Linked DNA regions of Stegostoma tigrinum. The protein of the gene in region 1 purifies or fractionates together with the protein of each later gene. This does not show direct contact. Links are inferred from orthologs where the notes say so. Each region holds a gene or a part of one and is shown in the gene's direction. Other genes may lie near its edges.

The links.
Region 2: the proteins of rictora (region 1) and proline-rich protein 5-like purify together in Homo sapiens (affinity purification with western blotting; 3 studies listed by BioGRID and IntAct, with this or other methods). This does not show direct contact. The link is inferred for Stegostoma tigrinum from reciprocal best matches to the Homo sapiens genes RICTOR and PRR5L.

What each region holds. Positions count from the first base shown.
Region 1 is NC_081356.1:134,468,224-134,475,553, reverse strand, and holds the start of rictora (rapamycin-insensitive companion of mTOR), read left to right. Parts: upstream 1-4,273; 5' UTR 4,274-4,353; coding exon 4,354-4,402; intron 4,403-4,656; coding exon 4,657-4,704; intron 4,705-7,330. UniProt on the Homo sapiens protein: Component of the mechanistic target of rapamycin complex 2 (mTORC2), which transduces signals from growth factors to pathways involved in proliferation, cytoskeletal organization, lipogenesis and anabolic output.
Region 2 is NC_081370.1:339,882-347,040, reverse strand, and holds the start of proline-rich protein 5-like, read left to right. Parts: upstream 1-4,140; 5' UTR 4,141-4,965; intron 4,966-7,159. UniProt on the Homo sapiens protein: Associates with the mTORC2 complex that regulates cellular processes including survival and organization of the cytoskeleton.

The sequences.
Region 1 (7,330 bases):
TACCTTCCCTTCCATTGTACGCAGCCATCCCAAAGCATCCATTCACCAGGCTCTTCCATTGTACCCACCACATTCAGGACGCTTTTCCTTTGCCAGCCTCACCCTCCTGTTCACTGTGCTCTACTATTGCACACTCCACTTCCACATAAATCACGCTGTTCTGCTGCACCCACTCAGCCTGACATTATATAGCAAGAACTGCCAATGTTGGAGAATCTCAGTCAAAACAGTGTGAGGCTGAATGAACACAGCAGACCAAGCAGCATCTGAAGAACAGGAAAGCTGACGTTTCTTCCCTTCTTCAGAAGAAGAAAGTCAGCCTGACATTAAATGTGTTCTTCCATTGGTGAAGGTTGACAGCTGGCCCCTCTGCCAACTATGTTGCTGCTGTCCCTCTTGGCTGCCATCCTACTTTATCAGACCCTCTCCTTCTTCCCCATACCCTGAATGTCCCTCAGGGACAAAACCATAAACTGCTGGGAAAACGTAGCAAGTCTAACAGAAATAACAAAGTGTGGAGCTGGATGAACACAGCAGGCCAAGCAGCATCTCAGGAGCACAAAAGCTGACATTTCGGGCCTAGACCCTTCATCAGAAAAGGGGGATGGGGAGAGGGTTCTGAAATAAATAGGGAGAGAGGGGGAGGCAGATCGAAGATGAATAGAGGAAAAGGTAGGTGGAGAGGAGACAGACAAATTAAAGGGGCGGGCATGGATCCTGTAGAGGTGAGTATAGGTGGGAGGTAGGGAGAGGATAGGTCAGTCCAAGGAGGACGGACAGGTCAAGGGGGCGGGACGAGGTTAGAAGGAAGGAAATGAGGGTGCGGCTTGAGGTGAGAGGAGGGGAAAGGAGAGAGGAAGAACAGATTAGGGAGGTGGGGACGAGCTGGGCTAGTTTTGGGATGCAGTGGGGGGGAGGGGAGATTTTGAAGCTTGTGAAATCCACATTGATACCATTGGGCTGCAGGGTTCTGCAACCTTCGGGTAGCATCGTTATGGCACTGCAGGAGGCCCAGGGTGGTCGTGTCATCTAAAGAATGCGAGGGGGAATTGAAATGGTTCGCGACTGTGAGGTGCAGTTGTTTATTGCAAACTGAGTGTAGGTGTTCTGCAAAGCAGTCTCCAAGACTCTGCTGGTTTCCCTGATGTAGAGGCAGCCACAACGGGTACAGCGGATGCAGTATAGCACATCGGCAGATGTGCAGGTGAAGATGTGCAGGAGGCTTGGGGACCACATCCTAAAACCAGCCCAGTCCCTCCGCTTCTTCCTGTCCCACAGACCCAACCAGTCCCTCTCCAACGACATCCTCATCCGCCTAGCCGAACTTGTCCTCACCCTCAACAACTTCTCTTTCTATTCCTCCCAATTCCTACAGACAAAAGGGATGGCCATGGGTACCCACATGGGCCCAAGCTATGCCCGCCTCTTTGTAGGTTACGTGGAACAGTCCCTCTTCCGCAACTACACTGGCCCCAACCCCCACCTCTTCCTCTGTTACATTGATACCTGTATTGGTGCCGCCTCGCGCTCCCAAGAGGAGCTCAAACAGTTCATCCACTTCACTAACCCCTTCCGCCCCAACCTTAAGTTCACCTGGACCATCTCCGACACATCCCTCACCTTCCTGGACCTGTCTCCATCTCAGGCAACCACCTAGAAACCGATGTCCATTTCAAGCTCACCGACTCCCACAGCTACCTAGAAATCAACTCCACACACCCACCTTCCTGCAAAAATTACATCCCCTATTCCCAATTCCTTCACCTCCGCCGCATCTGCTCCCAGGATGAGGCTATCCACTCCCGTACATCCCAGATCTCCTCGTTCTTCAAGGAGCGCAACATCCCCCTGCGGTGGTCGAGAACGCCCTCAACCACGTCTCCCGCATTTCCCGCAACTCATCCCTCACACCCCGCCCCTGCAATAACTGCCAAACGAGAATCCCCCTAGTTCTCACATACCACCCCACAAACCTGTGGATACAACGCATCATCCTCCGACACTTCTGCCATCTACAATCCAACCCCACCGCTAAAGACAGTTTTCCATCCCCACACTTCTCTCTGTCTGCCTTCCGGAGAGAACACTCTCTCCGCGATTCCCTTATCCGCTCCACATTCCCCTCCAACCCCACCACACCCGGCACTTTCTCCTGCAACCGCAGGAAGTGCTACACTTGCCCTCACACCTCCTCCCTCACCCCCATCCCAGGCCCCAAGAAGACTTTACACATCAAGCAGACGTTCACCTGCACATCCGCCAATGTGGTATACTGCATCTGCTGTACACTGTGTGGCTTCCTCTACATTGGGGAAACCAAGCGGAGGCTTGGGGACCGGTTTGCAGAACACCTATGCTCGGTTCACAGTAAATAACTGCATCTAGTATAGAGAGATAATGGGAACTGCAGATGCTGGGGAATCCAAGATTATAAAGTGTGAAGCTGGATGAACACAGCAAGCCACGCAGCATCTCAGGAGCACAAAAGCTGACTTTTCGGGCCTAGACCCTTCATCAGAGAGAGGCCTGAAACGTCAGCTTTTGTGCTCCTGAGATGCTGCTTGGCCTGCTGTGTTCACCCAGCTTCACACTGTATTATCTTGCACCTCGTATAAAATAGTTTAAGTTAGATGGGCTTGAGATCGGTATGACAGGTCAGCACAACATCGAGGGCCGAAGGGCCTGTACTGTGCTGTAATGTTCTATACCTCATTGTCGCAAACCATTTCAGCTCCCCCTCCCATTCCTGAGATGGCATGTCCATCATGGGCCTCCTGCAGTGCCACAATGACACCACCGATAGGTTGCGGGAACAGCAACTCATATTCCGCTTGGGAACCCTGCAGCCCAATGGTATCACTGTGGGTTTCACCAGCTTCAAAATCTCCCCTCCCCCCACTGCATCCCAAAACCAGCCCAGTTCGTCCCCTCGTCCCTAAACTGTTCTTCCTCTCACCTATCCCCTCCTCCCAACACACCTCCGTTTCCTACCTACTAACCTCATCCCACCCCCTTGACCTGTACGTCCTCCCCGGACTGACCTATCCCCTCCCTACCTCCCCACCTATACTCTCCTCTCCACCTATCTTCTTTTGTCTCCATCTTCAATCTGCCTACCTCTCTCTCCCTATTTATTTCAGAACCCTCTCCTCATCCCCCTTTTCTGATGGAGGGTCTAGGCCTGAAACGTCAGCTTTTGTGCTCCTGAGATGCTGCTGGGCCTGCTGTGTTCATCCAGCTTCACACTTTGTTAGAGATAATGGGAACTGCAGATGCTGGAGATTCCAAGATAATAAAATGTGAGGCTGGATGAACACAGCAGGCCAAGCAGCATCTCAGGAGCACAAAAGCTGACATTTCGGGCCTAGACCCTTCATCAGAGAGGGGGATGGGGGGAGGGAACTGGAATAAATAGGGAGAGAGGGGGAGGCGGACCGAAGATGGAGAGTAAAGAAGATAGGTGGAGAGGGTGTAGGTGGGGAGGTAGGGAGGGGATAGGTCAGTCCAGGGAAGACGGACAGGTCAAGGAGGTGGGATGAGGTTAGTAGGTAGCTGGGGGTGCGGCTTGGGGTGGGAGGAAGGGATGGGTGAGAGGAAGAACCGGTTCGGGAGGCAGAGACAGGTTGGACTGGTTTTGGGATGCAGTGGGTGGGGGGGAAGAGCTGGGCTGGTTGTGTGGTGCAGTGGGGGGAGGGGATGAACTGGGCTGGTTGAGGGATGCAGTGGGGGAAGGGGAGATTTTGAAACTGGTGAAGTCCACATTGATACCATATGGCTGCAGGGTTCCCAGGCGGAATATGAGTTGCTGTTCCTGCAACCTTCGGGTGGCATCATTGTGGCAGTGCAGGAGGCCCATGATGGACATGTCATCAAGAGAATGGGAGGGGGAGTGGAAATGGTTTGCGACTGGGAGGTGCAGTTGTTTGTTGCGAACTGAGCGGAGGTGTTCTGCAAAGCGGTCCCCAAGCCTCCGCTTGGTTTCCCCAATGTAGAGAAAGCCGCACCGGGTACAGTGGATGCAGTATACACTTTGTTATCTTGGTTTCTCCAGCATCTGCAGTTCCCGTTACCTCTGATACAAGTCTAACAATCTGTGGAGAGAAAGCCAAATTAACGTTTCTAGTGCAGCACCAAACCACCAAACCCCTTATTCCTGGAGCACGCCCCCTTCCTAAAGACCCACCCCTAACCCTGGAGACCCGCCCCTCCACCCTTACACCCCACCCCACCTCCCCATTCATTGAGCCTGGGCCCGGGCCAGGGCCGTCCTCTCGCGAGAGCTGCCCGGCGTTTCCGGTGTTTTTGTGCGGCCCCAGGCCGGGCGGGCGGGCAGAGAGGCGAGAGTCCGTGAACATGGCGGTCAGCGTTCGCGGCCGCTCCGTTAGGAGCCTCCGCATCAGAGGTACATTACCCTCAGTCGTCAGACCCGGCCGGCAAGGCATAGACCGATAACCAGAACAAAAACAAAAAACCCTCAGCAGCGGCAATTAACGACGCTCGCACTTTAATAACGGCCCCGTCGAATGTTGTTTGTTTATGGAAATAAAATGTATGACTTACCGGCCACCTTAACTGAACCATCCTTAATCGTATTTGTTTTCTCTCTCTCTCTCCTCTGCACATATCTTCTTATATTGATTTACAATATGCACGCAGGGCGGAATGACAGCGGGGAGGAGAACGTGCCGCTCGATCTGTCCCGAGGTAAGGGGGAAACGGGGCATTTTTTTTAAATATGAGGACGGTGGAAGGAAGTAAATAAACAAAATAAAATTCTGTAGGAGGTTGGTGATGGCGGATCGTGGTGGGGGAGGAATGGTGTTGGAGCTACGATGAGACGTGAGGGCAAAGTCGCTGCTCCGCTGACCGGAGTGTGAGGGAGACCACAAAACTTTGGAATTATTGTGTAAAGGAGTTGGGGGTGGGGAGGGAACCGGTGGACTCAGTCGGGAGGAGTGGGAAAGTGAAGTTGTTTTTCCTTCTCTCTGACTGTCTCCCGCCGCCCTCGCACCGAATGAATCAGGGGCCGCCGCCTCTCCTGGGCGCCAGCTTTTCAAACACTAACGGCTCCCGGGCCGCGAGCCCCGTCCGTTGGTGGGGAGATTCCACTCGGGGGCAGGAGAGGGGTTTGTGGGATCATTCATCTGCCCCACGCCCCGCCCCGCTCCTCCCCCCCCCCCCCCATCTCTGTTTGTGGTCTCGCCTTTCCACTCCGCCCTGGAGCTGGTTGGCCCTCCACTGTCATTGGGGGCGGGTGGGCTAAAGGGAGAACTGGGTGCATTTTGCGGGGTTGGGGTAGGAAAGAAAGTGAGCTGGGATTTATTGATTAGGAAGGGGACGACGGTGTTGAAGTGGGATGGGAAAAGGGGGGACTGGGAGAGGGCGAAGGATAATGGATAGGGGGAGCAGGCAAGATGGGAATCTGTGTAATCGGATTGGGGGGGGGATGTAAGATGAGGCTGGGGGTAGGGGGAACGTCTGGGACAGATCAAATAGCTGAAAGATGCAATACAGGATTGGACATTGAGGGTATGAAACTGGGCATCGAGGATCTTGAAGTAGTGGGTGGTAAAGAACCTAACAAATAGGAGGAGTAAACACTACAGCCTCTTGAGACCTAAACTTGTTCGACAGTAGAGCGCCTGCAAGCCCCTCTCATCTGTCATTCAAAATATCTGCAGCGATCTTTGTGAGTGTTCAGTTCTGATGGAGTCATCTAGATTCAAAACATTAGCATGGGCTTTCTCCATGGATGCTGTAAGACCTGCTGTGACCTCCAGCATTTCTTGTTTTCAGTTTGTGTGTGTAATTGTTAACTGGCATCCACAGCGCTCTCGGGTACAGAACTCCAAAAATTCATATGTCTTTCAGTGAAATTATGGGTATGGGGCGATAGTGGGAGCGTGGCCCTCAGATGGAGGATCAGCTATGATCATGTTGAAGTGGACTAGTTACACTGAATTGGTTTTGTTTTCTGTATTTTTGTGTTTTCTCATCTCAATTCTAAGTGACCAGTCCCTTAGTCTGAGCCTTTGACTCTACATTCTTGATTTTCTGTATTTTTCTATATGCCCCTTTGCCACTGTCATCCTATTTTGTCTGCCTTCTCCTGCATTGTACTGTACACTTTTTCAGTGAAATTTTCTCTCACCCAGCTTAGTTCATTCTAAGCAAGAGCCATTCTATTCCAATTTCCTCCCCCAAAGTTGTTCCATTCTAGACAAACCAAGCAAGACCTTTCATGTAGCGATACCTCCTGTTATTTCAAGTTAATTAACACCTCAAGCTGTCACTATTTAGGCATGATTTTGTACTCACCAGTGCTCTAAAACTATCCTCTGCCTACTCAGCAAATAAAACCAGCATTTTTCACTGTCCAAAGTAGTGATTTTTTGGCAACGAAAGTCATTAATATTCTCTCAATCCTAAATCTAGTACTGCTAAATTGCAAGGAATGGGTATTTTCTCTTGTTAATGTTTCACATCTGATGCCAGCTGATAACATGTAACATTATTAAATGCATTGTCTGTGCTCGTTTAGAAACAAAAGCAAGTGGTCTCCTGGATGGTGGCTCAGTAGGTAGCACAGCTGCCTCACAGCACCTAGCACCCGGGTTCAATACCAGCCTCGGGCAGCCGTGCAGACTCCACACAGACGTTCTCACAGGGTCGGGATAGGTTTCCTCCTGGTGCTCTGATTTCCTCCCACAGTCCAGAGATGTGTGTTAGGTGGATTAGCCATGGGAAATGCAGGCTTACAGGGAGAGGGTTGGATCTGGATGGGATGCTGTTTGGAAGATCAGCGTGGACTTGAAGGGCTGAATGGTCTGTTCCACAGTATTGGGATTCTGAGCTTCTATCGTGGTGGTACCTGGTCTCCCAGCAGCATTGATTTAGCGAGTGAGTCATGCAGTGCAAGTGCAGTATTTCTGAAAACGCTGACTACTGGTGCCTATGTGTGGAACCTGCTCGGTATCTCTTGCCCAAGTGCTTGTATTGACCCTACTCCATTAATCAGTTCCAGCGCCAGCCTAACCTTTGCCCTATCGCGCTGCTCCGGAGATGCCTTCCCTGTCTGTCAGCTTGCAAACATTGCCTAGTAATGAAGCCTTCAGTGATTTGTTTACGTTTAAAATGGACTCTTAAGTTTTGTGGGAAGTGGCGGCAGTTTCGATGTATTTTTCTGTATTAACGTTTATTGCTTTTTGACTCTGGGTGGAGAAAGGAGGATGATGGGTGCACGATGTGTTTTTTTCGAAACGGCCACGTCCTGAGGGGAGGGACCGGCGACTGCGTCTCCAGCAGCCCGGGCTCTCTGATCTCCTTCCTG
Region 2 (7,159 bases), on another chromosome or scaffold:
TTAAGTCCAAATCATTAATATATTTAACAAACAGAAAGGGCCTCAATACAGACTTCTATAGAATGTGCCAAAATCCACGTTCCATTCACAAAACATCCATTGACCATTAACCTCTGTTATACATCACTGAGCTAACTTTGGGCCCACTTCAACATATTCATTGTATCCCGTGCGATTTTATATTTCTGAAAGTCTTCCCTGTGGGGCCTTTTCAAAATGCCTTACAAAAATCCACATAAACAACGTCCACTGCACTATCCTCATCAATCCTCCTTGCTACCTCCTCAAGAAATTTGATGTAGTTGATAAGATACAATCTTCCTTTTACAAAACCATGCTGACTATCCATGATTAATCCCTGCTTTTCTAAGTGATTGTTTATCTTGCCTCTTAGAATTGATTCTGAAATAACTCACAGGCCAATATCCTGTCACCAAGTCACCCTTTATTTAACATGTGACACTGATCCAGCTCCCGCAGAGGCAGATCTTAGTGTGACAAGCTATCAGACAGTCCTGTAGTTATCTGTCAGCCAGGGCTCCCTGATTGGATCAAATTAGCGGCCCCAATCGGGGAACTCATATTCAGAGGGTCTACCTGGCTGACCTCATTACAATCACTTCAGATTGCAACAATTTGTGAACCACCAGAGTCAAATTGAATAGTTTATTAGTTTTTGGATGAACCCTTGCATCCTTTTTAAACAGTGAGATAATGTTCAATCCTTTGGCTCCTTGCCTGTATCTTTTGAGGTCTGGAAAACAATCGCCTGCTGGACGTCCTCAGGCACTCTGCAAGGATCCCAACACAATATTACAAACTTCACGTTTGTGACAAAATGACTTGTTGAGGCTGCAAATAGTTGTGTGGCCAGGCAGGGATGAGTATCAATCCAAATGCTTGGGATTTGTCTCAGAAGCCAAAGACGATAACCTTCGTCTTTAACTGAAAGAAACTCGGGCTCATCCAAGACTGGACGTTGGATAGACACATCAGGAGTGGTGAAGTTAAGAGATCTGATGGTGAGGCAGAGTTAGATGTTTCCAAAAGGTGTCTGTTTTTGATGTTTCAAACATGCAACTTGTAAATGAGGGAATTGGAGGTGTCAAGCATGGATCCTTAGGGAACTCTGAAGGTAATAGTGCCATGGGAGGAAGTGAAGATGCTGTCATTGTAATGTCTGTGGTTGGATAGGTAAGAGTGGAATGAAAGGAGGACATAGGATTGGACAAAGGAAGAGATGTAGAACCATAGCCAATCAGATTACATGCTTTGGAAGCCCAGTGCTAGAAAGTACCACATGGCCAGGGATGATATTACTTGTGATTTTGATAAATGTCGCTGCAGTGCTATTGATAGGAATGGAAACATGATTACTAATTCAAACAGGAAGGTGCAGGGAAGATGGGTTTGGATTTAAGAAGTAACAGCACTCTCAAAGAGCAGAGGGATGTGGGAGCTACAGTGATAATTTGCGAGGATAGGCGAGGTCAAGGGTATTTTTTTGGCAGTTTAATATTGGCAGTTTTGAAAAGGAATGGGACAGCGGGAGAATAACTGAGTAGAGAGTTAGTTATAAAGCCACTAATATGTAGTACAGGAAGGAAAATGTGGTGATCAACAATTCAATGAGAAGTGGGTCAAGGAAGCAGAGGGACCTCGGTGTCAACAGTAATTTCTAATTTTCATCTTCACCATCCTATAAGAGTCTTAAACTAGAGGTCACAGGTTTAAGGTGAGAGGGGCAAGATTTAAAAAGCACCTGAGGGCAACTTTTACACACAGAGGCTGGTGTGTATGGAATCAGCTACCAGAGGAAGTGGTCGAGGGGGGTACAATTTCAACATTTAAAAGACGTTTGGATATGTACATAAATAGGAAAGGTTTAGAGCGATATGGGCCAAATTCAGGCAAATCAGGCTACTTTAGTTTGGGAAACTTGGTCGGCGTGAACGAGTTGGACCAAAGGGCCAGTTTCCTTGCTGTGTCACTATATGGCTAAGAGTCCCTTTCAGTTAGTTTATTATTGTCTGTATTGCCAACACAATCTCCTATTCTTTCTCCTGTTGGTTTATGTCACTCTATTGCCCTCAACCTCGTCTTTATATGCAGCTTCAATCTATTCAAGTGTGTTCCACATTTTTACTGCCTTGGAAATAAATGCCCCTTAAATTTTTAGTTTCCTTTCTTCCCTAGCTTCTATTCATGTGTCTTGCCTCGATTCACCCATGAGTATAAACGTCTTCTTCACCTTCACTCTAAGAAACTCCTTCATAATGATAAAGATTTTTATTATGTTTCAGGGCATGCCAGCTAAATATGGTCACAACCTACAAGATCAGTTCAAATTTCAGGTAATGATTATAAGTAGCTAAATCTTTGCTCTTGCAGCATTGTGAAATCTTGATGAGATTATTGCCTTCTAATCAATCTCAGGTATCTATTGTTCTTCACATAAAAGACAATGTTTTCCTTGTAGTTGTAAACTCCACTTAACGATTAACTACTCTCAGTGCCACGGACCTGGATTCAATTCCACTCTCAGTGTGGAATTTCTACATTCTCCCCGTGCCTGTGTGGGTTTCTTACGAGTCCTCTGGTTTCCTTCCACAGTCCTAAAGATGTACAGGTTCGGTGCATTGGCCATGCGAAATTGCCCACTGTATCCAGGGACGTGCAGGCTAGATGGATTAGCCATATGTAATGTAGGGTTATGGGGGTAGAGTTGGCGTTGCGGAGGGTGGGTCTGGGTGGGATGCTGTTTGGAAGGCCGGTGTGGTCTCGATGGGCTGAATGTCCCGCTTCCACACTGTAGGGATTCTATGATTCTAATCTATGATGACATTCCAGAACTATGCTGAATTACTCGAGCACTGTCTTTCACAGAACACATGACAGCAGGTTGATAGAAGTTTGCAAAATCATGAAGGATCTTGGACAGAGTAAGCAGGGAGAACCTGCTGCCCCTCATAAAAGAATCTAAGGACCAAGCAGTCACAGATTTGAATCAATTTGCAAAAAAGAAAACTTTTTCACACTGAATAATTAGATGCTGGAGTGCACTGCCTGGGAGTGTCTTGGTGGCAAGTTCCCTTGAAGCATCTGAGGCAGCATTAGATAATTATTTAAATGGAAGCAATACTCAGGATTATGGGGGGAAAGCGGGAGAGTGACACTAAGTCATAAAACTCAGAAAGCTAGTACAGACGTGAGGAGCCAAATAACCTCCTCTTACACTGGAACATTTCAGTGATATTCTGAAGACAGTCTCTGCTTCAGATTAGTTATAGAAGGTCCCGGTCAACACTATTGGGGACAATTAGAGAGTATTTCTTAACGTCCTGGTCAATGTTTCAATTTCCACCAAAACCACGAGCAACACATCAAATGGTCACTCAAGAGATAATGGGAACTGCAGATGCTGGAGAATCCGAAATAACAAAGTGTGGGGCTGGATGAACACAGCAGGCCAAGCAGCATCTGAGGAGCACAAAAGCTGACATTTCGGGCCTAGACCAATGGTCACTCATTCTTTTCTGCTTTCTGCAAAATAAACTGCCGTGTTTGCCTACATTGCACTTCAGAGTGATCCACTGCATGTGACGGCATTCTGACCTTTATAAGGTTAGCAACAATCCACTTTATAAATACCTGTCCCCAGATCTTGTGTTTATATATTCTCCTTTAATTGCCTCTTTGAATCCTCAGACTACCTGCTCAACCTGCTGATGAATTTGGCAACAACTGCCTCTTTTCACCCCCAGATTCTCTTGTTGAACTGAGGAGTTTAAATACAGCGTTTGTACAGCCCGTTTTGCTTTTATTTCAGAGCAATATGCCTGGTAGCATTTTCATCCCAAACGTAGGTGAACAGTCCAGTTGCTGGACAGCCAAAATAGGTTAGAGCAACACCCTGCTAGTCTTTCTGGATGATTGGAAATCGAATCGCCCTGTTTGAACATGGGTCATTTCCTTGGTATCCTGGCCAATATTTATTTCTGGGCTGTGACTGCTGGCAATAAATGAGCTGCTCAATATCCTGTTTGGGAACTTCTTGTCCATTGGAAAAGTGACCAGACTTCAAGTGATATTTCACTGAGTGAAACTGTGTTTGAACGACAGGGTGGGTCAGCGTTCAGCATTGCTGCTTTGATAGTGTGAGGGACCCACGTTCAGTTCTCAGCGTGGAGTCTGCACGTTCTCTCCGCGTCTGGACGGATTTTCTTCCCTCACTCTCAAGATGCATAGGTTAGGGGGATTGGTTTTGGGAAATGCAGGGTTATAGGGATGGGGTGGTTGTAAGTGGACGGGCGGTGTAGTCTGGTTGGGCCGAACGGCCTGCTTCCACACGGTGGGGACAGCACACCCGACCACTGTGACATCCCGATGTGGCGAAAGGCGTTATCTAAATGTAAGTCTGCACTTTGCGCGTTAAACATACCCAGATAGCCACTGGAAGATTGAATTCTGCCAATTCCGGCGTCTCTCAAGATGAATTTTACTTCGGTCCCCATCCAAAGACAAGGAAAGATAAACTTCAAAAAGAAACTGCACGCTACCCTGTTCTGCCTTGAGTCCTCCGGGTTACTACTTTTTGTTTCGCTCGAACTCACAAATTTTTAAAACCATTGAAAAAAAAATTCTCAATGACCAAAGCGTTGGATTCGGTCCAACAAGCTGCCTGGCTGCCCCAAACGACAAGGAAAAAATTACAGCCCGTCAGGAAAAGCCGCAACTGAACGACGGCCGTCTCACGATATAAATGTACACCTCCCACCAGGGCGACCCAGCCTAAACTGTGTATAAAGGGAGGCCAGAGACAGCGGAGAGGCGTCAGTCCCACTGCTAGCTATAATGCCTAGCTCCCACCTCCCATAACAGCAGCTCGCCTCTTGGATCCTCCCCTCTCCGAGAACCGAACAGACCTGCCGCCTCAACGCTGAACAATCTGCCAACGTTTCAGGGGTAAGTGATTCTCAGTGACTGGTCAGACTCTGCTGAAAGGCAGAACTCAGGGTTCCTAACCCTAACCCTAACCACTGAATCGCTAGTTTTAAGGGGACTTTTGTTTTTACATTTTACTTCGCCCCCCCCCCACCTCCGATTTAGTTTTACTGCTCTGACTTTCTGCAGAGTTTCCCAGGACACCCCCCCCCCCCGCCATCCCATCCCCGCCTTGTATACGGCGAGTTAGCCTTTCTGTTATTGATACACGGGAACTGGTACTGTGAATGCCGATACTGGAGCAAAGGGCCGTGAGGCACAGGTCCAGCATTGCTTCCCACTTCCTCACTTTAGACATTAATTGAGAGTCCCATGTGTAAACTGTTTGCTCGGTCTCTCCCTCCCTCTCTCATACACGCTCACCGCATTTCAAATCTTATTTCCCACCCCCACCCCCCCCCCTCATTTATTGGTGATTACACACAATGTCACCCTCCCAAGTGAGGTGTCTGTCGTCTCCCTAAAACGTACACTGTCACATATACACACTATGTCACACCTAAATGCACACATTATAGACATCTTTGATTTTGTCCAGAGTTAAACACACAGAGACAGACCCTTCAGTCCATCTCGTCCACACCAACCAGGTATCCCAAACTGAACTAGTATCATTTGCCTGTGTCTGGCCCATATCCTTCTAAACCTTTCCTATTCATGTACCTGTCCAAATGTCTTTTCAATTTTGTAACTGTATCCTCCTCTACCACATCACCTGGCAGCTGGTCCCATATTTGCACCACTCACCTTGTGGAAAAGTTGTCCCTCAGTTCCCTTTTAAATCTGCCCCCTCTCACCTTAGACGGATGCTCCCTTACTCTTTGGGAGGAAGACCTTGGTAATTACCTTATCTATGTCCCTCACGAAAACCTCTAAAAGCTCAGTCTCTGACACACCAGGGAGAAAAAGTCCCTGCCTACCCAGCCTCTCCTTTACAACTCAAACCTACAGACTCTCTCACACATGAAGTGAATTTGTGACATAGTCTTTCCACTGTGATTTTACGCAAGGCAACTGAGGTTCTAAATGAGTCATGAAGTTTTGGGTTATATTTTAACTGAGGAGGCTGTGGCACCTCACATTTTTGCCGCATTTGTAGCTGCAGGGCATGGTATAAGATACATCTACATGTAGACCACTCAGCGCCCTGAGCCTGTTCTGTCATTCAATAAGATTCCCAGTCACCCCTCACCCCCTTCATTATCACAAATTTGCCTACCTCTGCCTTCAAAATATTCAAGGAATCTATTTACAGCCACTTAGGAGGAAGAGAGTTCTAAAAATTTAGGATCTCCGTTAGCAATAAACTCTCATTCTCTCTGTATTAAATGGGCAGCCCCCTATCTTTTTTAACAGCTCGAGATTCCCCAAAGAGGAGGAAATGTTTATTCAACATGCATCCTGTCAAGATGTCTCGGGATCTTAATTTTTCGAATCAAATCACCCCTTACTGTTGTAAACTCAAGTGAATACAAGCTTGTTGTGTCCAAAAGACGTAAGAACTAGGAGCAGGAGTAGGCCATCTGGCCCCTCAAGCCTGCCCAGCCATTTAATAACTTCATGCCTGATCTGTTTGAGACTCAGCTCCACTTACCTGCCCACTCCCCATAACCCTTAATTCCTTTACTGTTCAAAAATTTATCTAGCCTTGCCTTAAACACATTCAGCGAGGTAGCTTCAACTGCTTCACTGGATAGGGAATTCCACAGATTCACAACCCTTTGGGTGAAGAAGTTCCTCCTGACCTCAGTCCTACATCTGCTTCCCTTTATTTTGAGGCGATGCCCTCTAGCCCTAGTTTCACCTGCGAACAGAAACAACCTTCCTGCCTCCACCTTATCTATTCCCTTCATAATCTTATATGTTTCTAAAAGATCTCCCCTCATTTTTCTGAATTCCAGTGAGTATAATCCCAGCCTACTCAGTATCCCCTCATAATCCAACCCTCTCAACTCTGGAATCAACCGAGTGAATCTCCTTTGCACCCCCTCCAGTGCTAGTATATCCCTTCTCAAGTAAGGACACTAAAACTGCGCACAGTACTCCAGGTGTGGCCTCACCGGGACCCTGTACAGCTGCAGCATAGCCTCCCTGTTTTTAAACCCCATCCCTCGAGCAATGGCAGACAAAATTCCATTTGCCTTTTTAATCGCCT